Arabidopsis thaliana: one gene and its partners. The protein of the gene in region 2 interacts with the protein of the main gene of each other region in a pairwise test. Each region holds a gene or a part of one and is shown on either strand. Other genes may lie near its edges.

Evidence for each region.
Region 1: the proteins of ERF5 (region 2) and NAC028 interact in a two-hybrid assay, tested with the Arabidopsis thaliana proteins (one large-scale study listed by BioGRID).
Region 3: the proteins of ERF5 (region 2) and WRKY20 interact in a two-hybrid assay, tested with the Arabidopsis thaliana proteins (one large-scale study listed by BioGRID).

Annotation. Positions count from the first base shown.
Region 1 is NC_003070.9:24,516,232-24,528,240, forward strand, and holds NAC028 (NAC domain containing protein 28), read right to left. Parts: upstream 8,030-12,009; 5' UTR 7,878-8,029; coding exon 7,721-7,877; intron 6,810-7,720; coding exon 6,532-6,809; intron 6,455-6,531; coding exon 6,122-6,454; intron 6,012-6,121; coding exon 5,640-6,011; intron 5,542-5,639; coding exon 5,451-5,541; intron 5,367-5,450; coding exon 4,702-5,366; 3' UTR 4,437-4,701; downstream 1-4,436. Other genes in the region: AT1G65900 (plant/protein), read right to left, coding at 56-165, 249-414, 503-607, 699-740, 874-966, 1,054-1,125, 1,226-1,438, 1,578-1,603 and 2 more; AT1G65920 (Regulator of chromosome condensation (RCC1) family with FYVE zinc finger domain-containing protein), read right to left, coding at 9,036-9,123, 9,213-9,574, 9,657-9,803, 9,889-11,799, 11,876-12,009.
Region 2 is NC_003076.8:19,175,126-19,184,646, reverse strand, and holds ERF5 (ethylene responsive element binding factor 5), read right to left. Parts: upstream 4,767-9,521; 5' UTR 4,576-4,766; coding exon 3,673-4,575; 3' UTR 3,465-3,672; downstream 1-3,464. Other genes in the region: NUDT8 (nudix hydrolase homolog 8), read right to left, coding at 1-105, 197-262, 341-618, 718-841; AT5G47229 (uncharacterized protein), read left to right, coding at 4,798-4,953.
Region 3 is NC_003075.7:13,432,480-13,444,737, forward strand, and holds WRKY20 (WRKY family transcription factor family protein), read right to left. Parts: upstream 8,518-12,258; 5' UTR 8,215-8,517; coding exon 7,987-8,214; exon of another isoform or gene 7,296-7,986; coding exon of another isoform or gene 7,284-7,295; exon of another isoform or gene 6,995-7,283; coding exon 6,839-6,994; exon of another isoform or gene 6,547-6,838; coding exon 6,042-6,546; intron 5,952-6,041; coding exon 5,795-5,951; intron 5,711-5,794; coding exon 5,555-5,710; intron 5,291-5,554; coding exon 4,819-5,290; 3' UTR 4,526-4,818; downstream 1-4,525. Other genes in the region: AT4G26630 (DEK domain-containing chromatin associated protein), read right to left, coding at 29-121, 321-431, 511-570, 741-823, 1,255-1,288, 1,364-2,398. UniProt on the Arabidopsis thaliana protein: Transcription factor. Interacts specifically with the W box (5'-(T)TGAC[CT]-3'), a frequently occurring elicitor-responsive cis-acting element.

The DNA of each region.
Region 1 (12,009 bases), on a different chromosome or scaffold from region 2:
GACGAGCTTTAAAATTTTAGAATGTCAAAGTATAGAGTTGATTAGACTTTGTTACCTTAGCAATGTTTCTGAAGTACGAAGTTGTATAGTTTCCCGTTGGAAACAAGGCTTCAACAATGTCAGCCAGTACAAGATTTGGTTGCGAGATTGCTCCGTCATACCAGTCTACTCATTCACAATTTCCAAGACACTGGTTTTTAGCTCAAATCAACAGAAAAAAAAAAAACAATGTCTTATAACTTTCTTACCAAGAGTTGTTCTGTTTCTGACCCTTTTGTCATATCTCCAGATGCTTTGATTAGCAAGAAACGCAAAACAAGAGTTATCATCCACGTTTATGTTCGCCAAGAACGTTGTCTGTGTGTAGTTTTGAGGGTCAGATGATAGCGTTTCATCGATCACAGCATCCACAGTCTGAACAATCGAATTGTAGAGGCTAAGCAAAAGAAGTTTGTTTTTGGTCATCAAAAAGATGAAAGCAAAACAAGTATGACCAGCTTACACATAAAATGGCATGGAGTGCTTCCAAATCATCAGGATCAGAGACATTGTAAGAGACCTTGTTAATAGACTTGTCGATATTTTCACCACCAGCATCTTCTACAAACTGTTGTGTATGGGTTTGTCATGTTCAGTTCCAAAGCTTTTCCCAAGCATTTAAGGGAATAATTGAAAGTGTCAAATATTGAAATGCGTACCTTTAGCTTGTGTGATTCCTTAGTAAAACTCCACATGCCTCCCTTGAAAAAACAATTATGCGTTATGAGTTTGAAACCATAAACAGACATTTATCTTCGTATTTTAAGAAACAAAACAGTTAAAATAGCTAGAGACAACCCTTGACAAAAAAGAAGAAGAAGAAAGTTTTCTTACATTTTGATCATATCCCATCCAGGCTACAATCGGCTTGAAGGATTTTGTCTTGTTGGCAGCCATTTGAGACAAGCAAGTATAGCTTGCTTTAACCTTAAAGTTTCCATAACATACTTTATAAACAGCAAGAATAGACCATGTAGGCAGATTTTGCTAAGAGAATCACAAATAGTCACTAACCGAGTCATAGACTTGATTGGCTTTAGTTTCAAGATTTGTAAACGCTCCAAGGAATTTGATCCACTCCGCTCGCTTATTCAAGATTACAAAACCAGCACAACCTCATATCAAAATGTGTAATGGTTATCAATTTTGGTTAGGTTTAGAACTATGCAAAGATAATAATTGGCACCTGAAGAGGTGTTCCTTCACTAAGTGGAAAAAAGTTTGCAAAATTGCAAGTCTGAGGTTGATCAGTATCGCTGATGAAATGCGCCGCGAATTGAGATAGTTGTTCACCTTTGTCAAGCTTAACTACTTCCCCTGCCTCACACAGTTTCAGAAGACACGGTGAAACTACCTCATCCGATGTTATTCCCTTCAAGCTTCCGAGTAATCCAAGTAACTGCATATAATCAAAACTAAATCCATTTTTTTTTTTTGGTACATTTTAAAGTGTGATCCTAGTCTTCTATAGAATTTTTTGGCTAGTGCCAATAAAAGTCTAGAGCTTATGTATTGAGATACTAGAAAGGAGTGTTTACCTCAAAGAAAGAAACCGGAACACTTCCTGCATAAGAGAAAACATAGAGATCTAAAACAACAGAATTTTGTTAAACAGAGGAATGAAACAGGGGAGAAAAAAACAGAACATACCTTGAGAAGATTGAGTGTCTAATGAGTAATTTAGAAGTGGAATCACATAAGACTTTATCCTGGAAGTACAATACTTTGTCCGAACCGCCATTCTAGAAGTGTTCTACATATTATCCTCAATTATCAGACACGAACCATACCATACATTTGGAAACAAAAAGATGAAAGATAAGTTAATGAGAAAAGAGCAAGAACCTGAATAAGGAGATAGCTCTTGCCATCAATGGCGTTTTTGATGACTTTAAAGGTCTGTCCATAATAGATATGGAAATTCGTAGCATCTTCCACCTTTGAAATGATTCCAACCTTTACATTGTTGGAAGCTCCGTTTGATAATCTAGCTACCATGCACCACAATACTAACAATAGTATCAGAGGCCAAGAACTATAAGGCAATGGAGACATTATCACTGTTAATGGTGATGAAGAAAGAAGACAAAATCACAATTAACCCTTTTTGAATTTAGATTGGCTCTTCTTGAATTCACAAGACAAATATCTGTGGGTTTTCCATAGAGGGAGAGAGATAGAGTGGAGAGTGATAGGGAGAAATATTTTATTATTGTTGTTGGCAAAAATAAATAAACTTTTTCTATATGCTAGAATTCTGTTGGAATGTACTTTTTGTTTTTAGTTTGATTTAAGAATAATTGTGGAATTCAGATGGAATATTTGCCTCACTGGACATCCTCACTCAAGTGTAAATGTATATGCAACCACTATTTCACATTCTTCATACATGTGAATACCCTTTTGTATTCATTTTAGTATAGTGTTTATACGGACAATTGATTCATTATCCCTATGTCTCTCCAATTCCTATAGATGGAAGTTCAAACAGATTGAAACTTGTGTCAAGGTTGCAAAAGCATGTGAAAAACAAATAAATGTATAAATTTCTGGTTAATTCCGTTTAAGAAATTTAAAAATCGATCTCAATGCTGTTTATAACACAATGAAATAATTTCTTACCACAACCAAAAAAAAAATTAGAAAAATATAAAAAATATTTGGAAAGTGAGGTTTTGATTGATTGTGAGAACAATAGAGGAGGTGACCCGTGAAGAAAGCACGCGACTATTATTTGATTTGTCACTTTGTGTTTCAATAGTTACCACTTTCGCTTTCTTGTGATTTTCTGTCTACACCCATTACGTATCACCACGTGCATCCCAATCCCCATTACCACAATCTCGACTCCAAGATTTGAGATCGTAAAAGATAACGCAAATTATAATCATTTTAGGGTGTTGTAATTATTGTTAATGATATATACCAACTGTATCATTAATTTTTCTTGAATTTCAAAGGATATGGGAGTTCTTGTTTTCTTTTTTTTTGGTTAAATGGGATTTAAGTTGTAACTTTAAAGTAGGAATAAAGTCAAAGGCTCAAAGCCATATCCATAATATGATACATCTTACCAAGACGCATGAAAATTAATGGATCCATATTTCAACGGAACAATGTTTTAAATAACCTAAACTTTCAAAGAACTTTGTAAATTTCAAAGGATATTGGGAGTTTTTTGTTTTTGGTTGGGATTTATGTTTAAAGTATTTTAAAACGCATGAAATTAGGATCCACATTGAACATCTTTTAAAATAAACCTAAACTTCCGATGAACTTTGTATATTGTAACACTCCAATCCAGCCCATTAAGGCCCAAGTACCCTAAATTATGTCGTTGTGTGTTACTTAAAGTCTCACAAGTCACTTAACGCATCTCAATCTTCAACCCTAAAACAGGCAACGAACCTCAGCCACCACTGTCCATCGTGGTTGAGTTCGACGAAGTTTGTTGTTGTGATCCGATCTGATCCTAATGAAGATGAGGAAGGAAACAGTTTCTGGTAGGGGGAGTGAGATTCAATTGTAGTTATACTTCAGCAAGTAAGGCTAGATGAGAGGTGTCGACATCACCCCTAAAGGTATACCTAGCTGCCAAACTCTTTGATTGCCATGCAAGAATCAACAATATCTATAAAAATCCAGTATGCATAATCATCTTTTGAACTGGTTCTTGTGCTAGAGTTACAAAATCCTAGTTGTACTAGTACCAAACTTTTATGACACTTTTTAGCAGCTTGTTTTCGGTCAAGCTTGAAAACATGATCCATGGAAACATAACATCTATTTTTTTTGTAAATCATAAATTTGTTCATATAAAAGAAGATTTAATTATTAATTGCTAATGACTAAGATATTAAAAATTCAATGTTGAAACGTATCGATATTTGGTATGTTATGAGATATGCATACTCACGACATTGTTAATGTTGCAACGTATCGTAATATGCATATTATGACGGGGCAAGTCCGTCTAGTCCTCTTCACTCAGCGTTAGACACATTCGTTTATTCTATGTTTTGTTTGGGAGAGAATAATGAAGTTTCAATCGCCGATCCATACAAACTATTAAGAGCCAGGAAAGCAAATCTTGGCTCCATGAGATTGGCGAGCTTCTCTGACGCACCTAGATTCTTTTGTAAGAGAGGTTTTTTTCCTCTCTCTATCTTCCATTCACATTTGTTTTAATATTGAAACCGACAGTTTGAACCGTATAGGTTATTCTTAAATATTATCTGTCAAGATTCAAGAACAAAATAGCTCGATAGTAATTTTTGATGATCTATACATTGCAAAACATGGAACAGCAATCGTTATAATAAACAAGTTATTATGAAAATGACTATAAACTTACTCACATATCTATAGTGACTAAAATACTGAAATACAAGATGGCTAAATTGTTAATGTTCGTATAATCTGCTCTTACCGTCTTACGTGCATGCAAACATAATAATAATAATAAAAACCAGACAGAAGACTGATCGTTCAACCCGCGGAGAGATCATATCACTTAATACATAAACAGAAAATAACCAAATCTAGTTTTGTTTAGACGACTTTAGAGAAATGGAAAAAGCAAATGAGAGTAAATACGACCTAGGCAAATGGGAGTACAATAGAAAAGTGAAAAGCCATATATGATATATTGAACCTCAGTATTCAAATAAGACTTATGGTAGAAACAGCTAAGATGATAGCAAGAGAAAGCCCCAACTTCTTCAATACGAAACTATCTTGAAACCGAAAACCTTGTTCGTCAACCATATTTTTCTCTTTCTTCTTCTTCCAAATTTTTCTTCTCACGACAGCATTTTCCATCATGAGTATTGTTCCCCGATTGTTACAATCTCCTCTCGTAGGCTGCCTCGAGTAACCTTCACTGCCTCTGTTTTTGTTAGAGTTACCTCGATGAACACAACGCATCAATAGAAGCATAGGAATGAAGCCAATAACATGCGCGAATTTTCTCCATTGTCCAAGAACTGTTGAGCTTACTCCGTTGATTCGCGGATTTATCTTTTTACGGACATGAACCTCCTCTTTTGATGTCATACTATGACAACACTCATTGCCATCCGTCGGATTTATATAAACTATAACGGTTTGCGATGGTACTATCTGTTGGAAGAATGTGTTGGTTACCTGACGAGTTGTGACAAACAATCCATGGCTAACCTCAACTTTTTTTACCACCTCAAAACATGAGGAACTCGTTGTCTCATGATCGTTCTTGTCCAAAAGATTCTCGTTATGTTCGTTTTCCGAAAACTCGAGTGTGAAAGCATCATCCACATCTCCATTGTTGTTGTTAACGTCCATACCATCTTCAACAACAACAAAACAAAAAAATCAAATCCAGAGATGTCAAGAAAGACAACCAAATGTAGAAATCGCGAAGTGAAAGCTACCTTGATCATGATGTTCTTGTTCTTGATTATCATTATGATATCTCCAAATATCTTCTATAGGAATTACCGTTGAGTGTTCTTCAACGAAGCTCTGAAATTTGTAGAATAAATCAAACATATACTTATATTTGATAACATATATATTAACACATAAAATATTTTGCACTTAACATTGTAAAATATCACTACCTTTTCAAGTTCCTTGCTTGATACTCCTACCCATCTCAAGTTTTCAACAAGTCTTTCTTCCTTAAAATTCACATGGTGTTCTTGCATATCTACAGCCTCCACGTTCGCCTCTAGGCATGAGACTTTTTCTCCGGAATAGTTAAAGTCTCCATGGAAGTTCCCGGAAGCAGAACCACCGTCCCATGAGTCTAGACTGTTTCGTGGCTCATGTGAGGCTTGAGCCAATGCTATAATCTTGCTCAACATTTCATCTGTATCGTTAGCTACATTGTTTCCAAAATATTCATTGTGTGTGAGACCTTCTACGTAAAGTGGTGGTACTGGTGGCAACATACGATTTTGTAGTCTTGCACACTCTAACGCTATATCAACCTATTATATGAGGAGAATTCAATGGATAAGAGATTAGTTTGAAAACAAAAGGTTACATATTCACCAATTTTAATTTTGTATTTCTTTGAGATATATAGTTTAAATTTTACCTTCGAGGGAGGATATGAGATTGTTCCATATTGAGACTGAGGTGGGAAGTTGAAGGACGTGTCATGCGACATAAACTGACTCCATTTATTCTCTATCGTTTCCATATCCGACGACGAATTATTACCGAGTTGAGTTAAGCCTCCTGTCTCAGGTGAGACTGGATACCCCGAGTTTTCGAGGTTTTCATACATTCCATCAGAATACAAACAAGTACTAGAAGTAGATTGTTCACTATTAGTCGTTCCTTTGTTCTTCTTCGTACCATGGTGTTGTTCTTCAATTTTGTTGGCTAAAGCACTCTTCTTAAATACTCGACAAAGTGCATAGGCATCCTGAAATGTTTATACATTGGTTTATATTCAAGTTAAGAATCTTAATCTTTTGATAACCTTTTTAAAAGTTAGCTTACCTGTATACCGGATTTAGAGTCACATTCTTGTTCTTCAAGACGGTACTCGTGCATGACCCAATCGGTACGAGAGCCATGAGGCGCTCTTCCTCGGTAATAAACTAATGTTTTCTTTGTTCCAACCATCCGTGAATGTGAAGTCACTTTACGATCTTTCCCGGTGGCTTTCCAGTAACCTGCTTTGGTCGCCCGGTTTGTTCTTGATCCGTTTGGATATTTCCGGTCTCGAGGACTGAAAAAGAACCATTCTAGGTCTTTACTTGGCAGCAAGGACTTCCCTGCAAGGATCATACAATTAAGATAAATTATATCCAATCTTAATTTGTACACACTACTTAAAGATTCCATAACATGTCATGAGAATCCAAAAGATTAAAAAAGAAAAGACAAATAAAGAGAACATTAGATTGTTTTATATTTAAAACAAAAAGTTGAAGGTGAATGAGAAGCTTCCAAAACCCTAAAGCACATGTGAAATTATTGTGAGTTACTTATTATCTTTTTTTTTCAATCTTCTTACCTTTTTTGACTCGGTCTTCCGAATTTGTCTCACACTAGTCACCACCGCATCTCTCGGTTTTATTACAATCCTTTTAAAGACTAAAGATAAGGGTGGGTCCATTTAAATTTTATTCTAACATAAAGTTGGGATCATAATTATTAAAGATTATTTAGTTGATAAAGCATTCACGTTCGATTCCAAGTTCGATGCGTGACTAGAGATACATAACTTGGTACGTAAAAATGTGAAAATAAAATGGGAATTATATTATGTTAAGGAAAAAGAGGGAAAGAACATCTATCTTCGAAAAAGAAAGGACGTCAAGTGTCTCTTCTCTCAAGGGTTACCCTTTCAAACATTAGTTTCACATTATGTAGTTTTCAGAAAAATGAATCTATTTTTCGTTATTCTTACTAAATTCCAAAAAAAAATGATCTTACACTAAGCATATCAATCAAATGATTATGACATATTAGAAAAGAACCAGATAGAGTCTTCTCCTTCGGTTGCTATGGTATGGTCTCATTTAAAATTTCTTTAACATGAGACACAACATGTTGATGTACTAACGATGCAGAATCATAAATTTATACCTTCGTCCATGGTAAATACTTGCGGATGACCAAAAAAAATGATAGATTTGCATCTTATGAAAAAGAAAAAAAAGAAGCAAAGAGAGAAATATACCAGGTAAATCCCAAGGTTCGCATTTGTAAAGATCAATCTCGGGTATTATCTCTAACTCAATAGTCCGACCATTAATCTTTCGCTTGAGGTAGTATATGACAAGCTCTTCGTCTGTTGGATGAAACCGGAAACCTGGAGGCATTGAAACAGGAGCCATGTCCACTGCCTTATACAAACTTCTTAGCTAGAAACAAATATGAACATTTATAGAACTTAAGAGAGAAAAAGGAGAAGAGGGAGGAGAAGGAGTGAGAATATGAAGAGACAGTTATATAAGAAAGAAGCGTAACATAAGGGTTTGAATTCGATCGATCAGTGATGAAATTGTAAGAAAGACAAAAAGAGATTAAAATTATGTAAAAGAAGCTGGAAAAAGCATTTAGGGTCGGTTGCCAATTGCAAACCCCACAACATATTTTCCACTTTAACTTTTCTTTTTACTTTAATGTGTTTATATATTTCCGTGTAAATTTGATTCTCAGTAACGTTCTTAATAAGCTTTTTCGGTATCATGTTCAATGTTGGAAAACTCACGTTCATTATAATTCATCTAAACATGTTTATTTTTGTTCATCCATGCGTAACGTGTTTATGCATATAGACTAGATATTTGTCAATTTCATTTATCAGTTTTGCTCCTAGTGAAAATATTAAAAGTAACCAATTAAAGACAATTTGATAACTATTTTTGCTTGTAAAAACGGATATATATGTATAAACCTATACTAGTTAATAACTTTTGCTCGTCATATTTTTTGGCATCGACCAACGTAAGGACGTGACATATTTGACATATTTATAAGGAATTTTCAACAACTAGAACTTAATGTAAGGTTTTAAGAAAACATAATAAGTAAACTATTTTTTACGTTGTTAATTTTTGAGATGCTTTCTCACTGTTTTCACACATTTTAAGCCACATTTCATAGTCAATTATTACGTTTTCTATAATATAGAATGAAAGTTTTATATTTGATATACATCATTTTATTTTCTATCTCGTGGTCAATGCCTCAATGGTAATATTGAACCAATCGCATTTTGAAGATAGCATGTTAGATATATTTCTACTTACATTTACATACTATGCAAGTCTTCTTCATTGCTCAAAATCACAAACATTTTTCTTAACTCGCATATATATTTCCTAGATGATCATTAAAATATTTTTATTAATCATATATTGGAATTTTTTTCCCAGTATTTTTTTTTCATTTTTTCTTAAATAAAGAAATTTTTCTGCATTACATATATTCACTAACAAACATCAAAATGAATTAAAATACATTCGAAGAAGTAAACTCAAAAGTTAGTTTCATATTTCAGCATCATACTTGTTATAGACCAAAACCTGCTTCTCTTCCCACCATCTTTGTGCTTCCTTCTCTGAAAACCTCTTCCGACTGCAACCAAAGTTAGAAACCAATCATATAAATACTTAAGCGTACTTCAAACTATATAAACACTTAAAAGCACATTAACATTTTTTTACCTAAACCGTACGCGTTTAAGCGTCTTCTGACCGCAAGGCAAGGCCGTGAAAGTTATATATACACCGGGCTCGTATTGCTCAACTTGTTCTGCTGACGAGTCTTGTGTTTCGTTTTGGAGATACCCTGTTCTTGTGATGGCTGGCGATGCATCTACTAATAGCTTAATGTTGCTGTCACGGTTCGAGGATTTCGTGACACATTTCTCTACATGTTGTTTGGTTTCGTGTTGTGAACGAGCTGTGGTGATTGGTGTGAGGTATGGAATGGACATTGAGTCATCAAAGATTGGTGAGACTTGAGAAGGATTGCATGCAATGCCGGTCTTCAGAGGATTACTCGGTTTCTCTTTATTCGCTTGGAGCTGCAAGCAAAGATACCGTGAAAATGTCGGTCACATAACAAACCAAAAACAGAAAGATTAAAAAAAACTATGTATCTTTTACCTTCGATGCCAAGGCTTTTATTATCTCTTTAGCAGCTTTCGATTTCTCTGCTTCTTCTTTAGCAACTTCCCATGTCTTGTCGAGCTCTTGTTGACATTCTTCCATCTTCTCATTGCCAAGTTCACACTGCCTCTGGAGATTTTTTATCTACATGTTCATAAAAATGTATCTTTAGTGTCTAATGTGTTACTATTGTTACAGGTAAGAAAACAAAAAGAAGTAGTTTAATTACCACGGCTTTTAGCCTTTCGATTTCTTCGGTTAAGATCTTATTCGACTCAGACGAGGTTGAAATCTTCGTTGAAGATGTTCGCCTTGCTGAGACTGAAAGATTCAAAGAAGAACTTGTCGAAATCTTATCGAAACGAAACAGAGAAGGACCAGAGACTTGTCCCCATCGAGGCTGTCCATCCGAAGATCGATTAGCTTGTGGAAGATTCTGCATCTCATTCTCTGATTGTTTTTCTGTCAAATCCTCAGATACTCTTCGTGTAACCATCTGCATCCTCGGAGTGTGATTATCCATCTTAACATTTCTTGAAAACTCTGTTATACTCCATAGATGATCAAAGCAAGAATCGCAAACCCGAGAAAGCTTGCTTTTATTCGGTGCTAACGAAGCATTTACCGCTTTCTTGCTACTACATGCATTGCAAAACAATAGACCACAGTTGTAACAGTTATGCTTTCTCCTTGTGAATCCAAAAGCTGATTTGCAAGAACTACAAGCGGTTTGATCATTCAAAGAGATCTCTTTGTGTAAACAGATCGCAGCCGTCAAATTCAACCCGCAAGCTATACTTTCTACCAACCTATCACCTAAAGGCTCAACAAGAACAGGAGAGTTTCTATCTCTAACGTCACCTAAACCAAGTTGTCCATTCATGCCTTTTCCCCAAGTATAAACATTTCCAAATGAAGTTAGAACAGCTACATGATGTGAACCTGAAGCAATATCCTTGACAAATTGTCGTGTTAGATTGCCTAAAACAACATTTACCGACTTATCCTTTGCCCGCGGACATCCTAACTGTCCGTGGATCGAGCTTCCCATTGTATAAACCGTTCCTGAAATGCTTAAAGCAACAGTTAAAGTCCATCCACAAGAGACTTTTATGAAATCATGATCAATGAGTTCAGTAACACAAGTTGGCACAAGCTTTCTCTTGCTATCAGCATGTCCTAACCGTCCTTTATCGCCATCTCCCCAAGTAAACAGCTTTCCACAACTCTTGGCGTTGTAGAATTTCCGGTCGTTCGCGGTTTCCACTATAGCAGCCGTGTGCCACGGTCCACAAGAGACAGATATGACCTTCATGCGTCTCAAAGACTCAACTTCTTTCGGCTTTGTAACACTCTCAAGACTCCCATGTCCAAGAACTCCAAAAGTTCCACTACCATAAGTGAAAAGCTGACCAGAACTAGTCACAATTGCCGTGTGCCACGCGCCACAAGCAACACTTAAAACAGTCAAAGATCCGCCAAGAACATCGGATATCTTCCGAGTCAAGAACTGGCTTCCTGACTGTTCAATGGTTCCACCATCAATTCCCCATAAATACAGCTCACCAGATTCCGTAACAGCACACGTTTGATGATCACTACAAGCCACTGATCGAACTGCAACATCCTCAAGAGACTCAACGCGTTTCGGATGGTCGATATCGATGTTAACTTTAAGTCCAAGCTTCCCACTATTTCCATTCCCCCAACAAAACACTTCACCTTGTCTTGTAACCAACGCAGCATGTTTTGCACCTAGAGATATACTCTGTACATCAAACATCGTAGCAGATTCCAAAAGCTTAGGAGACAACGCATCGTTCTGATTCTTCGATCCATCGATAAGACCCGTTATAGCTCCCCATATCATAATGTCCTTAAGGACATTGGATCTTGTAACCGGCTGTGTTATGATAGAAAGAGGAGGAGAAGCAGCAAATCTTTGTGATGAAAACCTGCAAAGTTCTGAACCTGTACTACGATCACAATCCGAGTTCCTGAAATCATAATCTGTTTCATAGTAAGAAGAAACTGGACCCAAGGCATCAGATTCAGCAAAACTATCTGAAGAACATGACAACCCGTTCGACAAACACCGCTCTTCAAGTAACGTCGATGGACTTCCACATAAGCTACGTATCTTCAAGAACATAACAAGATACATCAAGAAATCGAAAACAATATATAAATGGTTAAAGAAAGTGTCTTTTAGTTACCTGAGTGACGTCAGGAGTCTCTTCAAGAAGTCCAAGATTCTGTTTCCTTCGCATAAAACCCGCAGGACTATTGATGCAACTTTGAGCTCCCCTACTACTCCGATGATTCACAGAGTTTCTAATGTTATGATGCT
Region 2 (9,521 bases):
AACTTGATGTGAAGCATTTGCAGGAAGCATACTAGGTTCCTCCTCTGGTATCCAATATGTTAACATTACATATCCTTTCTCTGCATGATGATACTCAAAACCTTCCTGCAAAATCAATCCACAAAAAATCATTAACTTGCATAAACAAATCTCTGCTTTATCAAACAAGATCAAGAACCATTTTCTTATTGCTTACCTTTATAGCTATTGGGACTAATTCTGATTGTTCCACAGGTAACTTTAACCAAACTCCTTTCTTTCCCTACAAAAATTTCCCCCAAATTTACATATGTACAAAAACAAAAGGGTTTAAGACTTTTATAGGGTTTATCGTTTTTACCTTTCTTCTCCAATCGGATAGAGAAGCTCGAAGCATAGAAGCGAAAGCATAAGGGTTTGATGGTAATTTTCCATGATCTACTATTACTCCACCATACTCATCATCATAAGCATCAAGTAATGATCTTTCTTTAACTGCAGAACTCATCAATGTTCTGCTTTTTAGGTTTACTCCATTCATCTTATAACCTGAATCTGAAGTTGCAGCTATGCTTCCTCCTCCATAAACAAATTGACTCTTTGTGTTGCTGCTCGAAGATATTGCCTTTGGTCCATCAACTTCTCGTCCAAAATGCAAAAAAAAAAAAACAATTTTTAAAAAAGACAATGAAGATTCTTGTTGTGAAGAGGAAGTGATTTTAAGGTGTTATTATTTACCTTTGGATAAATAGAACTTTGGAGATATTTTGACACCACAAAATGGCTGTCTGAAACTGTGCATAAAACCCAAATGTGTTGTTCCTTTAATGACAGTAACCTCAGAAAGAGAAACAGAATCCATTGTAGATCAAGAAGATCTATGTGGTAAAAAGAAGAAGGAGAAGGATTTTTCTTGAAAAGGAAATCGTTTAAAGAACTTGAAATTTGTTTACAAGCATTTGAGCAGATTTAAATCTTAAATAAGAGAATGAAAGAGAAGAAGGAAATGGAGAAGAAAGAGAGATGTGTTGAGAGAGTAATGTTAGATTTTTTTGAGGCACACTTATAATGTGTGGTTTAAAGTGGATCGAGTGGTTAAGTGAGAAATGAGAAAAGGAAAGCGAAGAACAGTTTTAATATCTTACAATCAAAGACAAAATACACGTGAATTTCCAATTGAGCTGCGATTTCAATTTTCAACCGACCAAATATTACAACCCTAATAATATATGTACATTTTTATAATATTACATATAGCTACGTGTTTTATTTTTGGATATAGACATATAGCTACGTGTTGTGTCTATCTTTTACAATTAATAATGTCTTAGAGATTTTATACAATTTTTAAGAGGGATATAATAACTTATATAAATGAATCATTTTTCCAATACAAATTTTAAATAACATTTGGTGTTACAAAAAGAAACTAGAATAGATTTTTGGTAAATATCAATCACATCAAGCCAATGATATATTATAAAATAATCCAAAGCTTTTGGATATGAAATACAGGATGGTGGCATGATTTTTAATTTTAGTACAAAAAGTTATAAGCAAAAATAGTGAACGAAAAATGCAGGGAAAAAGGAATCAATAGTTAGGTATCAGAGAATCTTTAACATGTTCGAGAGAGTTGTCTGTGCGAAGGAATCTTCAGGAGTTCAAGGATGGATAAACGGATATATCTCAATGATCCAATCCCTCTCCTTTGGAAAGAGGCTCTCTCTTCCTCACGCTTTTTACAATTTCGTCCGTTGATTTATCTGAAGCGTGTATCTCACACAAGTATCCACGAGAATGGGATAATAAAGCATCTTGTCGTTGCTGGAGCTACGTGGAGATGGGCCTTGATGGCTTAGATTCCTTGTCCTTTCTGTTTAAAAGTATTTTAGTTCATTTGGATTTTTAATTTGTACGTCAGATGCGTCCTTATGCTGAAAAATGTTTGCGAAAAGCTAATCAAAAGTATTAGAGAAATTAATCCCTATTAAGCAATAAAGCAAACCATATATGTAACCCATCCTCTTGCGAGAGCCATGATGAAGATGGACAAAAGATATCTTGTTGTGGACCAAAAGGTCGATAAGTTTGATAAGTTGATCCGATGGACTTGGAAGCTCTCCGTGTCTACGACTAGTACGCTCCATCCAAATAGAGTGGAAACTTAATTTGTAACTTCAATAGAAACATGTTTTGGAAAAATAATATAGGGTTATTACGACTCATTAGCAAGTGTTTACATTTTTTCGCATTGAATAACATTAACCTCAATTATTTTGTTACAATATATATGTGAAGGTTTACTTATTCTAAGCAGATTTTTACCACATAAACATGTAAATGACATAGATAGTTAGGTTTGCGTTGATTGAGGAAATGATTATTCGTTATGGGAAATGATGACGTTCAGAAAAATTATCTGCAATAATTGAAAATCATGGAAGGATTAGGTATTGTCCACGTAGGATAATTAGGTAACCTGAAGTGCATGATGATCCTCATTCGTGATAACATTGTGTCTTCCATTACAATTCTAGAAAATTTAACCATTTGAGTATGTGTGGATAATGATGTAAAGCTAACCATTATTCGTGGTCGGGTTTTCCAAATAAATATGTTTGGATATTGAATAGTCGTATGATGACGAGCGATTCTTACCTGATTGGTATTCTATACAATAATATTAGCATGCAAGATTTAATATGTATTTTATTTTGAGGTCGACGCAAAACACATACTTCATTTATTTTCCTAACAAAATTTCGTAACAAACTGTGTTATACCACTTTTGTTTGATTAGCGTTCATCTTCGAAAACGATTTAGAAAACCCAATTTCATCTACGGAGATAAAAACAAACTAATAATTTTTGGGTAAAGTTTGTTTGTAGTTCCAATTATCTTTTGTGTTTCGATGTATAAGATAGGTTGGTTTAGAACTTACCCAGCCAGAACTTCTGGATTTCATAGGTGAAAGTATATATTCAAAGTTTAGACCACAAGGCCCATTAGTGACCTTGATGAATGATTAGATAGTGTGTACTGAAAATAATATCTTACAAGACGACCCAACAAAATTCTTCGATTATAAGAAAAGGTTCTTAGCAGATTAGATGTCAAACCCGAAATACCAAAAGAAAATTAGATGTCGTCAAATCTAAAATACTAAAATACGTAGAGAATTCGCCGTGCAAGATATATTCTTCTGGATACATGCATGGATGGCTTTCACATTCGTCATGTAACTAAGCAAAAGTCTAACCACGTGGGAAATATTTTGACTAAGTTTATCCATTTTTTATCCTAAGAATCGACTTGTTCAGACAGAATCACGGTTATGCATTTATTGTCTGAACAACTTCACATAACGCCGGTCAATATCTCATGTTTGAATCATTCTTTTTATACTAGGTTCTACTATAATTCCTCAATTAATGTCAATGCAATTGACATTTATACTAGTATAATCTATATGTTGAATTACTCCGATTTCTTCTAGTACTCATAATAAATTAACGTAAAGCTAAATTATCCGTAATCATTAACTGAAATAATGTATTGTGAATTGTGAAAAAGAATGAACAAATAGAAAAACGCAAAAATATGAACAAATAGATGTTTTTTTCATCGCATGCACCTACGTGTACGTCCACGTCAGCATACACATCGTTCAAAAACTCAAAAAAAACTAATCAAACAACGGTCAACTGGGAATAACCAAACGGTGGATGAGGAGATAACGGCGACAGAAGCGGAAAGTTAAGAAACCCCGTTAAATCCCAGTCACATAATTCCGTTAAATTCGACGTTACAAACGGAAACGTCTCTCCACCGTTAACGTCAACGCTCTGTTCCGTCTTCAACACTTTCTCAACCACAGTCACTTTCTCATCATCGTCTCTCTTCCGTTTCTTCTCACCTTCATCGGCGCGTGGTTTCCACTTCCCAACTTCAAGAGGGAAATTCAAAATCGCTTTCGATCCTCGTAGTCTAAACGCTGCTTCGTCATAAGCTCTAGCCGCTTCAATCGCTGTATCAAACGTCCCAAGCCAAACGCGAGATCCGCGTTTATTCGGGTCACGAATCTCCGCCGCGAATTTCCCCCACGGTCTTTGTCTTACTCCTCTGTAATGCTTCTTCTCTTCTTCCGAAACCGGTTTAGTAACTTCCGGTTTGGTGTTTTCAGCTGCGAATTGAATCCACTCTGTTTTAGCTGGAAGCGAAATCTTCAATGGCGGTTTACGAATTTGAGATTTAAGCTCCGGTTCAAACTGATTTTGATTTTGATTAGAAGGTTTAAAATCGAAATCAGAAACAGAAACTTCTGAGTCAAATTCAAATGGAATCGATAGAAATTCCATAGATCTGGGAGTATCGAGATCGATGATTTCAGGTTTGCATACGGATTCAGAGAAATCAATTGGGGCGAAAGAAGAGGACGATGATCCGAAGATGATAGAAGAAGAGTCAGAGCTAGATTCTGTTGCTGATGATGATTCGTGCTTCATCCATGGATCTGTAGCCACAGGAGAAGCCTCGTCGAGTAGATGTTTCTCGATGAACCAAAGTGCAGATACTTCGTTAGGAGTCGCCATTGATAAAATTTTCAAAAAGCTTAAGAAAACAGAGAAGGAAGAAGATTTGATTTGAGTAGAGAAGAGGGAGTGGAAAGAAGTATATATACATGTAAAAGAAGCATTGGTGACTTTGTCGTGAAATGGACTTATTCAATGGAGGTGATGAATATAATTTGAATTAATTAAGGAACAAGAAGGAGCCAACGAACCATCCTCTCTTTCTTTTAAGTTTTTTATAATATGATTTGGTGTAAAAGAGAGCACCACTTGGTTGCGTGTTTCGTGGACTCAGAGCCGTTGGATCGAATGACCGACTCATCTATAGTCGACATTGTGATTGTTTTCGTTTTGTACTTGACTGCAATATTGTTTTTGTCTCTTGGTTATAAGATATAAGTGAGATCGAAAATCTATCGCAAATATATATTAACTAGTCCAAGAGTTATATTATTCGACTATTGCGGTCGTTTTCTTGAACAGAAAAGATGTCGATGCTTGACAAAAATAAAATAAAAGATGTCGAGATTTTTAGTATTCTAAAGTTCAACTCTGTGTACTAATAGCAGCCATATAATAAAGAACAAAAATGAGCTTTTATCCGTCTTTCACGAAGTTCAAATGCAAATGTTAACACCAAAATATCCGGTTTTCATCTACGTTTTTATTTTTGTTCATGCACCAAATTGACCCAAAAAAACATATATACAACAATGAATATTTACAAGCTGTTTTCCATTGTTTCTAACTTCATATATAGTTCATACATAACTTCATTGTTATGAGGCTTCGCCAAGTCAAAGTGTGAAATATCTTTTTTTAATTAACTACTCCCTCTGTTTCAAGTTATTTGATATTTTGAGTTTTTTTATTTGTTCCACCAAAATTGATGTTTTGAAAAACTATCATTATTATTTTTGTTTGTAACCAATAATGAAATGAGAGAAGTAAAATTAATATTATTAAACTAACTAAAAGAATAATTAAAAATATAAAAGTTACTTTTCTTAATTCTTGTGCAAAAACCCAAAATATCAAGTATCTTGGAACAGAGGGAGTATAAAAAACGAATTATAATTGACTGAAAGCAAAACTTTAAACCATGCGCAGATTTTCCCAACGTATCCGCGCGCACATAGTTTTTCTTCGCAATGTGTGAATATGATTTTTACTAATCCAGTTTTCTACTTTCCGGAATTGGATATAGATAGAGAAAACAAAACCAATGCTTTTATGGTTTATTGATCCCAAAAGGCTGCAAACAATTACTTCAAAGTTTCATATATAGTAACCTTCATTAGCTAATCTTGATAAAGTCTCCATAAGGTCCAATAATCTGCTTCTGATTAAGCTTTAAGTCGTGTCACAGAGACTCACATTCACTCTGCGTTCAAAGGTTCGTTACGTAGTTTATACAGTTACAGGTAGACGCGCACTCCAAAAATAAGCGTTTTCTTATACAATAGCATATCCGATGCTAATTTGCCAATATTGCGAACAAATTTTAACTCATATGTTAAACAATCAAAACCAATTTCACACCGCTCAGTAATGGATAATGCCAACATTGTATTGTAGTATTATATTATCCTTCTAGAAGATTTTTTGCGAGGTAAACACAAACGTAACTAAAATGATAGTAAAGCATTAAAGTCTAACCAAATACAACTCAGAAAATTTTCGGTTATGATTAGGTTGATGCATTATGGAGGGTTTAATTAGTAAGCAAGACAAGACTGAAAGAGTCAAGTCAATGCATGCGGCCTTTTATTGACAGAGATTATTAATCATACAAATTTTAAAAGATGATATACTATTGAATTATGTTTGGTTTCGTATTTAATTTGATCCATCTTCATGCACTGCACCATGCACGTGAAAAGAATTTACGCGGTGCATTAACTGGTTTGTAGAATGAATCAACGACTCACTCACTAGATTCTAGAAAGTCATGTTGTTACTTGTTACAATGAAACAAAATAAAGTTCACACTTTTAATAAATGATATAGCAAATCAGAGATTTAATATAAAAATTTATATTTAATAATTTCTAGAAAGCCAAGTAGTCTTTTTAATTTATATAGTAGTCTTTTTAATTTGTTGTTGTTGTGAAACACTACTCTTAATTATTTTTGTTTTACAAAATTTGATATTTTATAATATAGATATCAATTTTATTAAGGAATGAGAAGTTTTGTACTTAACCAAAAAAAAAAAGTTTAACCAAATTAAAGAAGCTCTTTCTTACCAAAAGAGAAGATAATAAATAAATAAATTAAAAGAAACCCTGCGACGATTGGACTAGATGAAGAAGTGTTACTCAAAGACGAGTCAAGTTTGCATTACATATCATCATAGTTTTTGTGGTTCTTCTTGACAAGACGATTGCGTCTCGAATCAGTCGATCAATATAGCCTTGAAGATTGCTTGCTTAAAGTAGAGGAAACATTGTTGTGTAATCTGTTAATTATTTCGTTCAATCTCTATTCCTATAAATTGTTGCCTGAGCAACAAGCCCGTTGAGATTAATTCCTTGGAGAAATGTTATTAGCAGTCGACCCTAGCCAACTGGAGAAAGTAGTCCCATTTATCAACTCACTTACTTCACATCAAATAAAATTTGACGGACTGTAAGATTTGACATTTGAAACAATCAAAACTCTAATCTAATGGCCCTAAGCAGCTAACCAGTTATGAGGTCACATATCAATACAAAAACATTTTTTGACGTCTAAATACATTATTAAGGAACCAATAAACAATATAACAATCATATGGTACTAACAAAGCTTTTTTAGCATCCTAAACTGTGTGTCGTTTTCTTGAACCAATCTGGTCTCTATTTTTGTTTCATTTTTTTTTTTCTGTCGTTATGGGACAACATATTTAATTAGCGTCACAAAAATGATTATCTACTTTTTCCATATAAATCTACATTCCAAATTTAAAGGTCAAGAAAATATTATTCCAATGGAAAATTATAAGTTTAATTGATCAATCATACATAAACAACTATTATCACCAACCAATCATCTATGTGACAATTACTCCAACATTATAAAATTGTATAACTAAAACTAATTATTGTGATTCTTATAGAAAAAAGTTACCATTCATTTGTCGAGAATCTTTGAATTCTCAATCTAACGTTATAATAATAAGAAATATCGTCTTCTGTTGAAGAAAACCTCAAACATTGCGGTGGGAACGCACGTGTGAGGTTGTTTGCACGTATGGAACTGAGTTTGCTACTAATAAAAGATAGGTTTGAAAAGTCAGTGGTCAAAGTCAAACATGACTAGATTTGTTCAACTTCAAACTTTTGAATACTGCTGACGTGTCATATAACATCTTTCCTTTGATCCTTCCTTTTGCATTGTTTTGTGTACCTTTTGCATCCAATTGCCTACATATAGATGTGTTGATTAAAATGAATTAGGAATCGATTAAAGTTAACAAAATACACTAAACTGTAGATTATATATAACTGAAAGCTGAGTTATTTTGGCTATAACAAAAAATAGAAGACATTTCATTGTTAAAAAATGTAAGATCAATTTTATCATCAGCTTGTAAATGAGAAGCATCTTCCATGAAAAGTTTGTATGCATAAATCCGAGACACTAAATTTATGAATATTAGTGTTCGGATATAGTGTAACTAATCATATGGGTGATTTTTTTCGTCAATTACATCATGAATCTAAACTCTAATTGGTATGTTTTTGGAGTAATTGAGAGGAAAAATAAGAAAATGAATAGAAAAGCGAGTAAAGGTGTGAATAGAAAAGAGAAAAATATTTACGCTATTCTTCTAATTTTTATGCATGATTGCTCTGATTCGTAATTTTTTTTGGCAAAAACATAGTAATATTTTAAAAAAAACTAACAATGTGTACCAATCACTGCCTACATAATTTGTGTCGTCATTTTCCCTTTTATGATATTTTATCCTCTGTATTTGTCTTGTCTGAAATATGCGATCGTCCGTGTAAATGTTGCTAATTCCGTAAATCGTGTTTTTGCTAAAACTTGCCTTTAACTTGATACTTAATTTCTGCACAATAATATGTGATAGAAAATATATTATAATGCTCATTATAGTATAAATTTTTTTTTGAAGAGATATGAACAAAAACATTGGTCAAAAATCACAGTTGTAAGATTAGGTGAGTGCTTTTGTTGGTTGGAAGAAACTTTTTTTTAAAGCAAACTATAGGCGAGTATTTTTTTTTTCCGGGTTAAAACTCTATATATTATTCTATGGATAAGCGCTCTCGTTTAAAGAGAGCCAATCGAGAACCGTTGAACTTACATGGGAAAAATAGAATCCGCGAGTTCTTGCACATTTCGCAAGATAATCTGCTCGGATATTACTAGTACGGGGAACATGCATAATATTAAAAGATACAAGTTGATTCTTAAAATACTCGAAATCTTTTAACTCTGATGCAAAAATGGGCCACTCCTCCGGCGTATTAACCATAGTGAGAAGATCAGAGCAATCCGTCTTAACAAGGACTTCCTTGATTGATAAGTCTACTAAGCACTTTAAAGCCCAAACTAATGTGTCTAGTTCTGCATGAAGCGGTGATAAACAACGACGTGAACCCTTCAATCCTAAATGAAGCAATCTTTCCCCACGGGTCAAAATCCACCCATGACCGCTCCGCGAATCAGTTATATGCCAAGACCCATCAATGAAGCAGATTGGGGAAGCCATATCTATATGTTGCCCTTCCAAACTTGGCTTGGTACCTTCTGGTTGCTCTTCTCTCCTATTGGCTCGCCTCCATACTTCTTCCTCATGTATTGCTAAGTCTAAAGTGTCTTGAGGTTGCACGCAAATACTTTCGAAATTTTTTCGGTTTCGCGCTTTCCAAATATACCACATTATCCATGGAAAGACCCGTAAGCTCTCCTCACAAGCTCCAATCTCATTCGCTCTCCAATACAGATAATCGAGA
Region 3 (12,258 bases), on a different chromosome or scaffold from region 2:
AAACAAAACTTTCCCAACACCACATTACCTTCTCTTTCTCAGAAACTGTAGTGTCACCGGTCACATCACCTGTCACATGAGGTTTCTCCAAAAACTCAAACAGTTTTGTAATAATATCTTCCTGTGTTGAAAAAGCATGCAACAAGAAGTTGCCAGATTCGATTAAATGGGGAAATGAATAAGCATAAACTTGGACAACCAGAAATGGCTAATCAAGCTGCTCAACAAAGACAGAAATTTAAACCTTCACATGTATCTATTCACAGAGGAAAAAAATGAATCTCAAGAACAAAAACTTAGAAATTGATAACCATAATGACCTTCTTTGTTGTAGCCTTGGTAATGTGTATGTCCAACACATCACAAAACTCCCACAGTTTCTCTTTGGTGCATTTCTCAAGCTTTTCTTTTACTTTTTCTTTTGCTTTCTTCTGCAAATACCAAAGAGCCACAATTATATACAAAGCAAAGGCATATGTAAAAGCATTCATTATGTGTAATGTTGCACACCTCATCTCCATGCCAAACGAAACCAGAGAAGCCCAATATGTTTGTCTTGATCTGAGCAGCCTGTTAAAGCAAGAAGAATAAGATACATACAAACATGATTAGCAGACTTGCTACAGCACATGAGTCCATACCACTGGTCTCAAACTACAAGAGTATGCCCATGATTGACAATTTTAGAAGTATGACTATTGGAGCAGCATAATGTCAAAAGGATCCAAAGAGACGCTCACCTTCCCTCTCCTCCCACCAAATAGAATTGGGTGAAGCAGCTTCAAAGTTTCATCAGACCTCTTCCTCATTACCTTGTTAGCAACTACAGAGAAGAAACATTCAAGTTATCTACTTCATTTCAACTTCAAACAAAAATAAAAAGATGAAAAAATGGAACAATAAAGGTATTTTTTAGGTAGGTCGCGATTATTAGATTTTGGTTTACAAGAAATCTTGCTTCTGAGCCGGCTGGAATTGATCAATGCCAAGAAAAAAAATTCAAATGAAGATTCACATAACCAGAACCGAAAAGTGTATAGATCAAAGAATCCACCCATAGTATACATGCAATTTAACAACTAGTAGTATCCAGCACATAGAATTCTCGTAACAAAAGAACGTTTAGGCTACGCACACTTGAAGATAATAAGGGGCTCAAACTGTAAACTTGGAAAGCTAACACAAAAGACTTTTCAGCACAAGGATAATTCGAGATAGATGCTTGAAGGACAGATAGATAGAATATGAACATACCATTGGGAATATCTTTGAGATATGCACCTCGCCCCTGTAATATCCAAAGGATTATTATAAACATATCTAGCAATAAAGTTCTACTCAGCTCAGGAAAGTTTTGGCAAACCTTTTCAACACGGAATTCTTTCGAGGAGTCTTTATCAATCAATGCAACAAGCCTCTCAACAGATTTCCGCTCACGCACAGGGCGATCAGAGAAAGGAGTCCTAGGCTCTGCATCCTTTTTTACTTCCTCGGTTTTATTCTTCTCGCGAACCTTTCCTCCAGAACTCGTCCCTTTCCCACGCTTTTTAGAACCCTTGCTCTCTTCTTTTTCATCTTCTTTATCATCATTTGTCTCCTCTTTCTCATCTTCCTTTGCATCTTTGCTCTCCACTTTTTCATTGTCGTTCTCATCCTCACTCCCTTCTTTTTCATCTTCTACCTTTGACTCATCCACCTCAGCCTTTGCCGCCTCAACTTCCTTTGTTTTATTTTCTTCCTTATCTTCCTTTTCTTTTCCTTCAACATTCTCCACTTGTTTATTTTCATCCCCATTCTCCACTTTTTCATCCATATCTGTCCCTTTGTCTTCATCTACCAGTGTCCCTTCCTCTTTGATGTCTCCTGTATTGCCATCTTTTGTTCCATTTGCTTTGTCAGCTTCATGTTGTATGTCCTCCTTCCCAGCTTTTTTGTGGTCTGCCTCAGTAATATCTGTCTCTTTGGTCTCTTTTTCATCATCTTTGGCATAGTTATTGTCTTTAGATTCCACGTTTTCCTTCATTACAGTATCTTCCACTGAAACACCATCATCAGTTTGCTCTTTCTTTCCATCGGCATCTTCATCCATGTTGGTAGCCTCTGCTTGTCCCTCATCTTTGGTGACCTCAACCTTCTCTTCCATTTTTTGAGTCTCAGCATTGTCTTCATTTTTCTTAACCTCTGACTCTTTATCTTCCGTCTCAGCTTTTTCATCATCTTTCTTAATCTGAGCATCTATCTCCATATTGTCTGGCTCAGCCATATCCTCATCTTTCGCCAGTTCTTGTGTTTCCTTACCCCCAGCATTCTCCTTTCCAGCCATAGCCTCTGATGGCTTTTCAAGAGAAGTAGTCTTGTTTGCGGTTGGCTCAATGGTTGCCTTTGTATCTTCCCCCATATTACAAACCAGTTCAGTAGATCCTTCCACCAAAAACACTTCTTGTGGCTGTGAATGAGAAATCAGTTCAGAGGATTAATATTGCTACGATAGCAGAAATTAATGCTCTCTATAAAGAAATTGAACAACTTGACATAAAGAACATGTAAAACGCATTGAATTCACACTTAGCATATATGCGAAAAAAAACTAATTCCAGGAAAACAACATCTAAAACTTGGCTAGTCAACAATAAGACAAATCTAATTTAGATCTCATTATTGATCCATAATTATCACTTAATCCCACTTTAGATCTGCAGAAGAAGAACTAAATGGAAATTTCGCGTAAGTCACTAAGAAACCAAAATCTCGAAGGTTCATCATTTATCCTCGCTTCTTATACATTCAGTAGAACAAAGATCCAGATGGACAAATGAAACCAAAAAACACCCTTTCATTCAGACAAATCTCCAGAGCTTACACCACACAGATTCAGACAAAACACAAACCCATCTTGAATCTCTCGAAATCAAGTCAATCAACGTCAAATTCATGCATTTTGTCAACAACTTAATAGCATCAGATATCAAAAAGACAATAAATAATCAAAACATCGAAATTCACAAATAAAAGAAGCGCATGAGAAACCCTAACTTCTCATCGCAACTTTAAACAAACACAAAGAAGAACCAAAAGAACATGCGAATTCAAACAAAGCTCAAAACATAAAAGCTCACAAAGATTTAAGCAGAGTATCCACAGGGTTCTAAAGCAGAAGACTTCGGAATCTCACCTCAGAGTATCACAAGACTCGGCACTGAGTTTTTTTTCTCCTCTAACTACTTTTTTTCTTACAAAACAGAACAAATAGCTTTTGTTTTTCTTTTTGATAGCGTTTTTTAGGAGAGAGAAATTCAAGGATTCGGACGCAAAGCCAGATTTTAAATACAATTTAATGCCACGTCAGGCTTAGGATGAATCATTACCGTCCGATTTCATTGCTGTAATAGAGTTCATCAACGGTTCAGATTTTATGTTTGATGCATCTCGTGGATCGATGACGCTATAAACTACCCTAACGTCCGGTTCCGAACCAGGTACCGAGCCTAGACTTTATATTTCAAGGATTTTATATTAGGTTTTTGGACAAAAAAAGTTAACATATTCAATGTTTGTGACCTATAGAAAAATATATTTTTTTAACTACAAATTTAATTTGGTAATTTTTCAATGATATGATAGTTTTGTAAATAAATTATCTATAAAATTACTATATAACAGATAAAAATAAAATTGATACGTAATAATTGCTATATCGGTTTAATATTAATGAAATTGTTTTACTTCTTTATGATAAGGAAGCTAAGTTTATGTGATTGAACAAATGATTAAAACAAACTCTTTCTTAAAATGTACTTCTTTTTAAAGAAATTTAACGAATTCGTTGAATGTTCAATTATAATTGATTTAAACAACGCTATATTAGGTAAAATGATCTAATTGAATAGAATTGTATAAGTGACTTTAACAAATTTTGTTATTTTATATTTAAATATTTTTTATGATGGATTCGATCCGCTACCATAAATAGCGTTGTCAATTTTTGCAAAAAAATTAACATGATAATCCGATTTTTACCTTTCCGCAAAAGATGAAAATGATTCACTGGTCCGGTGAAAAAAACAAGACTATTTTGACGACGATGATTATAAATGACTTATAATGTCATTAGTTTGATAGCGACAAAATTTTTATTTGCTTAACGGGTACTATGATCTAAAAGAATCTAATATGTTTGTCTTTAACAACAGTAAATGCTTCGGAAAAAAAAAAGTTCTAAATATGAAATTAGAGATTGTAACTTCCACCAAATAATCTAGATACATGTAAGAGAGAATAAGGTTACTGTTTTAATTGCCAATCTACTTCTTGCACAAATCTCTTAATTTTGTATAGAGACTGTATAGTATAACCTTCCAAATAATTGAACAAAGTTTAATATTGTCCCATGGTAAATCACCTAGTCGAAGTATTTATATCTCATTATTATGAGTTTTTGACAAATCTAGAAGTCTAGAACTAAAAGTTGAGAAACTATTATTGAAAAACGGGCAACAGTTGTAATTGTCTGCTTAAGGACCACGTAGCTTAAGTACCGTCGTGGTGTTTCTTTCATGGAGCATATCTAATTACGGTGAAGAAGAAATAGTTTGTAGTAATATTGCTGTTTCTTGTTTAAATAAAAGCATTAACATCTTGTTGTGTATTTTTACATAACATTTTTGGAACTCAATACAGGTGACACAAACAAATATATATGGTGGAGATAGTTTGAATCAAGATCAGCTCTCTGTGAAGAAATAGGAATTATATAGAACAAGGCCTCGTCCCATTCCTAACCTAAGAAGATCCCGTACATAATGTTGCTTACTTTTTGTTTTACGGACCCGATTGTACTCTCCCCATGTTGGGCGGATATGGGTAAGATGAATTGTTCAAGGACGAGATGTCACCATTTTGAGTCTCGTTCTTTGTTTCTCTCTGGCCGTACTGATTCATACCGCTATTTAAGCTAGCATAGTAGGATGACATGGGACTAGCATGAACAAACCTGAAATTGACTCCATTTGGGTGAGTTTGGTTGACAAGTTGTTGATTCTGGTGCTGATGTTCGTTGGAAGCGTGGTTAGGTCCATCAGATGAGATTCCAACACCAAGATTGAGGCTGATGGTGTCTGTTTCATCTGGTCTGAACCGAGGCTGGATTTCGTGATTGCTGCTAGACTTTGAAGTGGGAACATCATGATCGTGTTTGCCTTCGTATGTTGTTATTACAGCTTTTGGATCATGTGATGCTCTCTCCACGTGTTTTCTCACTGGGCATCCATGAGCTGTGCATTTGTAGTAGCTCCTACAAAAGGCCGAGGAACATCATGAAACATAATATCTCCATTGCGCACATGTTGAGTCTGTTAAGATCACTATCTTCCATATTCCAAACCAAATTCCTAAAAGAAGCAACACTTTATGCACATGTCAAATAACTAGGTCCTGAAGACAAGGACTAAACTGTTCTAGCTACCATTTTGAACTCGCAAGTTATGTTTATGTATGTTCATTCGAGAAAAAAGCAAGGAATTTTTTGGGGTGTTAAAAGCTTTAATGCTGTACAAACCTGGGATTTGGGTTCCCCCTTACGACTTTCTGCCCATATTTGCGCCATCTATAACCATCATCCAGAATGTCAACCTCACTCAGAGTTTGAACAACAACCCGAGGCTCCCGGATGGGTTTCACTAGTGGAGTTATTTCCATCGCACCCTCCATCCTCCTACATAAAGTTAAAATAAAGTTTTAATCATGTCAAATCACAGATTCAAATCAAGCACCTGAATCCTTTGTTAAACTCTAATACCTCCGTTTTGAGAATGGATCATCATCGTCCGGCTCATCTTTATTCCTATTTGACGCTGCCGCTTCTCCACCATCGTCAGATGCTGAGATAGGAGGTACTTCAGGGTTACCAGTTTGTTCATTGGGGTTAGACAAGTTGTAGACGCCAGATCCCTTCTCTGTATGCAGACATAAGAGTAGAAGGAAAAAGTTATAGATATTGCCAAGGGAGTAAGTGCATATTTGTCTCAAGTTTTAGTTATGATTACCATCTCGGCCAGTTGAAGAAGGATACTTGTCTAGCCTTTCTTCTTGTGCAGCCATACCACCAGAGTTTCGGCGACCAGGTTGAGGTTTAGGATGGTCATGTGTACCCTTGTATATAATATCGGTGATCTGCCCATCATGAGATCTTTCAAATAACTTTTTCACTTCACAATTAGGATGTGTACATTTATAATAGCTCCGGGGAAATTCACTCCCTTTGACATGCTTTTGACCATATTTTCTCCAGTTATAACCATCATCAGCCAAGATGGATGGAGTGCTTCCTCTGGAGTCATTTTGGGAAGTCTGGATTGATTCCTCTTGATCAGATCCAGCCGGAATATCTGAGCTCGTTGGTGTCATCTGACAAGGAGGAGTTGGCCGGCTTAGCTCACTTGAGGAACCTGCAGCATCACTGATCGAAGAAGGTGAGTGTGAGGATCCATGGCCCTGGCCTTGAAAATGTACTGGTGGCTCACTTCTAATCTTGCCAAGCTCTGCATATACCTTGAAATCAATAAAGATGTTTAGACAAAGTCATCCCCCAACAATATACAAGTAACTTATAAACTGTGAGCTTTTGGATACAAGGCTCCTTATGAAACAATTTAAGGCTGGCATGGTATTATATGTATGCAAAGGCGAAAGATTTTGAGATTTACAAGCAATCCAAGCGCTGAATAAATAGACTTCGTGCAGAAAAATTAGGTCAGCCACTGTTCGGGGTTCATATGTCGTCGACTATCTGAACAGTACATTACATGCAAAGCATAACAAACAGCATTGTTTTGGACAATACCATATTTGATGCAGGAGGTCTGAACTCAAATTCACTGGACTTCTGCTCAGTAAAGGTGTTCTGATGGAACCCCCTGCCTGTATAAGAACTTGAGCTAGCAGAAATGTGCACTGGTCGAGGCTTGAACAAAGAACCAGTAGTAGGGGAAGGTTCTGGCTGAAAGTTAAAGAAAGTGGCATATTATTAATGGCATGAATAAAACAATACATATCAGATTTTGTAAAACATGAACCTGATCTATCAATAAACATGATGTTTTAAAAAAAACAGTCTTCTAAAAACAAAAACAATATCTTGTTCAATCAAGGGATAAGAAGATATAACTAAGAGATGCAAAATAAAATTGAGCACATAGCATATAACCTATTATTCATAACTTAATTGAACAAAACGAATACTCTATAGATCTAAATGGTGAACATGCGAGTAAAGTACATTTTCTCACCAACAGAATCATTCAATAGCTCATATAAGTAAAAGGAATCCCCACACAGACGCAGCTAACCGAAACCTAAATGTACAAAGAATGGAAAAAGAAAAGAGAAGCACCAAACACATGGAAGATAGACACTAGACAGTATGAAGAAGAAACGACAAAGAGCAAGAGGATATAAATAAAGTATCCAGCACCAATAGAACATGATAAAAAAAAAAGGTTTATTCGAAAGAACAATCTGAACGGACACAAATGCAAACCAATGCAGAGTATAGTAGCACAAAGAATCAGAATCTTGGCCAAAGTCCCTAACGTAAGCAAACAAATCATAGTTTTTTAATCACTTGTAATGGACTAAGAAACAAAAATGGAAACCCAAGTCCAATGTTTTTCCTAGTGAGCAAGCAGAGAGCATCTCCACCAAATTACCAGAAATTCCCCACTAACATGAACAGTGATCCAAATCGAAATTGAAGCAACGAGAAACCGAACAAGTGGGACAAAATGTCAATGTTATGAATCAATTCCAATTCCAAACTCAGTTTCAAAATGGCACAATCCAATTTCATGAAAAATCCTTTAGGTCTTAAAAATATGAAATCAGAAAACCTAATTTCTCAAATCGACAACAAAAATGAGGTGAAACTGTGATTGCATTTACCAAAATCGAAGAAGAAGAAGAAGAAAGAGATAGTAAAGTAGCTGCTTAAACCTTGATGTTGGAGATGAAAACAGGAGATTCCAAAAACGAAGTCGGACTCAACCCAGGAGGAATCGTGATATCAGTCGACCTCGAGATCGGAAGCTTGGCCGGTGACATCAGCTTATACCTAGCACCTCCACCTCCGTTTCCTCCAGCTGAATCGTGCTTTGCCGTGAGATCTCCCGTCGCCGAACAATCTCCCTGAAACTCCTTCCGGTCATTAGCTTGAGGGTTCATTTCAGAGATTCGCAAGGGTAGAACAAAAATGAAGGAAAAAAGAAGCTAAGGGAAAGTAGAAGAAGCTCTCAGCTATGGCGAAATGAGAGAGATTTTGGTCTCTGCGTTAGTGAAGATTGTAGTGAAAGATGAAAGAACGATATTGACTTCACACCTCTCTTAATTCTTTGTTTTTCCTTTTCATTTTTTTAATAATTTATTTTCTTCTTCTTCTTTTTCTCCTTTATTTAGCTTTATCAATTTCTAAAGCAACAACAACAAACGTTAAAGTTGACAAAAACAATTAGAAGATGTAAACAATCCTCTTTTTTTTTCTCATGTACATTTGTCAAAATGTAAAAGATAAAAAAGTTAGTGTAATCAAAATTGCTTGTTTAAAGAGTTGTTGGAACCAGAAACATCCTAAATCTCAAAGTAAGAGTGTTGTAGCATTGGTAGATTGACACAGTCAGAAGCAGTATTGTTGATGATAATTAAGGATCAGGTATCAACAGTCTCAGGTCTTTTAAAACTTACCTTTTTGAATCTTTTGTGCGCCAATGATCCGTTGCTTCGACTCTCGTCTATCTTATCTTCTGCGATGTTTATCAATAGTTCAATACCGACGCTGAAATAAATGTATTTGCTGATTTGTAACAAGTTTCTATTGTGATGAGGCCAAATATCAATCGCATCATCGACAATTACCACTCTACGCTCATCAACAGCAAGAAGATCGAGTGTCTTCTCATAAGGACTTTGTTCTCTGGCTAGGACTCGATCTCCAAAGTATATTTTTTTCCGGATCAATCCACTTCAACACGGTCTGAGCGTAACTAGAATCACCCATTGTGTATACGTGCATGATGAAACGCTTGTTGGCTTCTAATAGAAATTCATGAAGAAAAGGTCGTAGCTTTATCATATATTCGCTGGGAGTGGATCTCTGTTGATTCTCCACAGATCTGACCTTGAATCAGCTCCTTCGATTAGATACTTCTGCTCTTCGGAAAGGTCCGAAACAAGTACCGAGTGGACAAGCGTGTGGTCCAAGTCAAGGACTAGGTGAAACTTCTTCTTCTTATCATCGTTGAGACAGGCCATTTTTTTCTTGTTTTGGATTTTGGTTGCAGAGTATGATTGTTGGCTCCAAACAAGTGAAACTCTGTAATCGAAAGAGAAACCCTAATTTGATCGGTGATAATGAAATTGATATGCTATGATTATGTATTATATAGAGAGGATATGTGTGAGATATCTTTGGGCCGTTCTCAGTTTCTTTCATTGGTTTAAATGGGCCTAGGCCCTTGAGTCAAATTACCTACCAAATTATGTGGGAGTTGAATCGAATTTTTTTTGTTAAAAATTTAAGCTATTGGTTTATCTTGTGGGGTAGCGGTTGTGTTCTATTTGCGTGGATAACAGTTAGGATATATAATGGTGAGTGGTGACATTCTGGATCCAAGTTGGTCCACCTCAAATCTTGTTAGAGAATTTTTCAAAAAAAAAAAAAAACATGTTTCTTTGGTTGTAAAACTTCCAAAATGTGTAAAAGATAAGAAGAATATGTGTATATATCTCTCAATACTGTTCAATGCCGTTTCAGAATAAAACTATGTAATTCTTTTCTAAACCAACAATTGTTTTACTTGTATTTTAAATAATTATCAATCCATGTTTTGATAAAAACTGATAATTCGAAAGTGGGTAACTCGGTAAAATGATAAAGCAACAGAAAATATATCATAACTATTCAAAAATATGTGACTAGTGAAGATTTTAGATAGTAATTTTTTCTTGGTGCAACACTCATATCATATACATAGTCTTGTCATTTTTACATATTAAATTTAATGTCTAGATTAACAGAAGAAATAAGGAAAAACTCGATAACTGTTTTTTTTTGGTAATTAAAAAACTCTAAGAAAATCTAGAAACGGAAAAGTTTGCATGAAAATTTCCAAAGTTCAAAAAGGTGTTGTCCCCTTCACATAACCACACCATCATCATAATTTTGATCAAACATTTGACCAAGAAAAAGGGGTGGTTTCACTATTTTAGTTTGGTGTACTTAAGATTTTGAATTATTTAAAGTTCACGATATATTGGCATATACCTCGAAGAATGGTGATCTTGTACTCAAGTGCTGGAGGAGACCTTTAATTTTTAGGAGTGAAATTCTCTTCAATTTGCAATTTTCTATTTGATCACGTTGAAGATTTCAAAAACATTTTTTAATCCAATTTTGTATGTTTGAAATTAGTCAGGAATTCGGCATATGATTAACTGCTTATACACAAGTATTCTGAAATAAACTAAGATGTTTTGGAAAAAAAAAAAAAAAAAAAAAAAGTATTTTAAACTCATATTACATTTTTTTTCTTCGCAAACTAGTATTACCTTCTTACTAGAACAAGTAAACAACTATGGGATCAATGAGGTCATCGAATGCCAAATATGAATTCTATTATTGGCCGTCTACAAATTAATTAATGGATATAATGCAACCCTTGGATACTCATAAACATCATTATGCCCAAAAAGAACATTAGAGGTAGACTTTTTCCTCTACACAAGAGAAGCTCAGCTGTCTACAGATCCTATCTTCTCCTTCTCATAATTTTATAGAAAACTATAGTATATAGATAAAAACTATATTGTTTTAGGCGTCATATATAAGAAATATGCCCACGCAAGAGAGGATAAAAAAAACACCACACAACAGAATATTTTCCCTTATAGGTAAAGGTAAAATGTCAATGGAACATAATATTAAAATGATTAAATTTGATGCAAAAATATTATTTTGTATATTTTCATGTAGGGCATATGATTCTATCTTTGTGATATAAAAAGATAGCATCGAGTACCCAGTTTTAAAATTATGTCAACGTAGGCATATCACAAGTGAAAAACAAAACGTAGACAAATCAAAATATTAAAAATGTAAAGGTCTTATCATAAGTAGAATGTGAATTTGTTAATAGAAAATATGAAAAAGTCGTTAATAACATAAATGTGTATAATATGTATCGTGGGTTCGTATATTAGATAGAAGACAAGTCACCTACGAACAAGAAAATGTACTATGTAGTAATCTTGGAATATTAATGTAATTTCTCTCTAACGCTCAATTAATATATAACGTTGTCACTTGACTCACTTTATCTCTTAACCATTCATTTTCTGGTGTTTTGTGTACCGAATAACATACTGATTAATTATTATGTATCCGTCCACTTGTTCGTGATTTTGTAAGGTAAAGTCCAAACATTTTGTAAATAGTCTGAAAAGACCAAAAAAATTCTAAAACATAACGCTAAGTAATTCACCTAACTTAAATTATATGAGACACTAATAATTTCGGAAACTTTGATGACGATTTTAGCTCAAACATTATGTAACTATTTTCTAATGTTTGTCCCAGTGATTATGATGATATGAATATATGATAATTTTTAGATATTTAAATTATTTCAATACTTTTGTAGATAGTGATTGAATACATTATACCTTACCTAATTAGAAATTAACTCATTCATTCACCTATAGTTTTTACAAACACATTACTGGTTTACAAACTCATATTATTATACGCTGATGACATTTATATAAATCATTAAACTACAATGTATGTTCTAAAAATCTTCCAATTTTAAAGTAAATAGTATAAAATTAAATATATGCATAAAGTTTAAACTTAGTTTGTTTCCAAAGCAAGGAATAATGTGCAGGGATTCAGAACTTTGGAAATTCTTGTGAGTTTTTTTAAAATTATAAGAACTTTGGAAATTAAACTTTAGAAGAAAATCTTCATACAATCATAAATTCAGCTACAATTGAAAAGTTGTAGAAGAACAAAAATAGACAATGAAATTAGTGTTTCTTCAAATAAAATGGAACATTTTCTTTTGATGATATTAATTAGCCTTTAGAAAAGTTGTGATACTCATAAATTGAATTACTCATTTTTTCTAGAGACTCCATAAATTGAATTTAATCTCATAAGAAATGTAAAATCTATTTTTCAATTGTTTTTATCACAAATAAATTATTGGTTAGAAA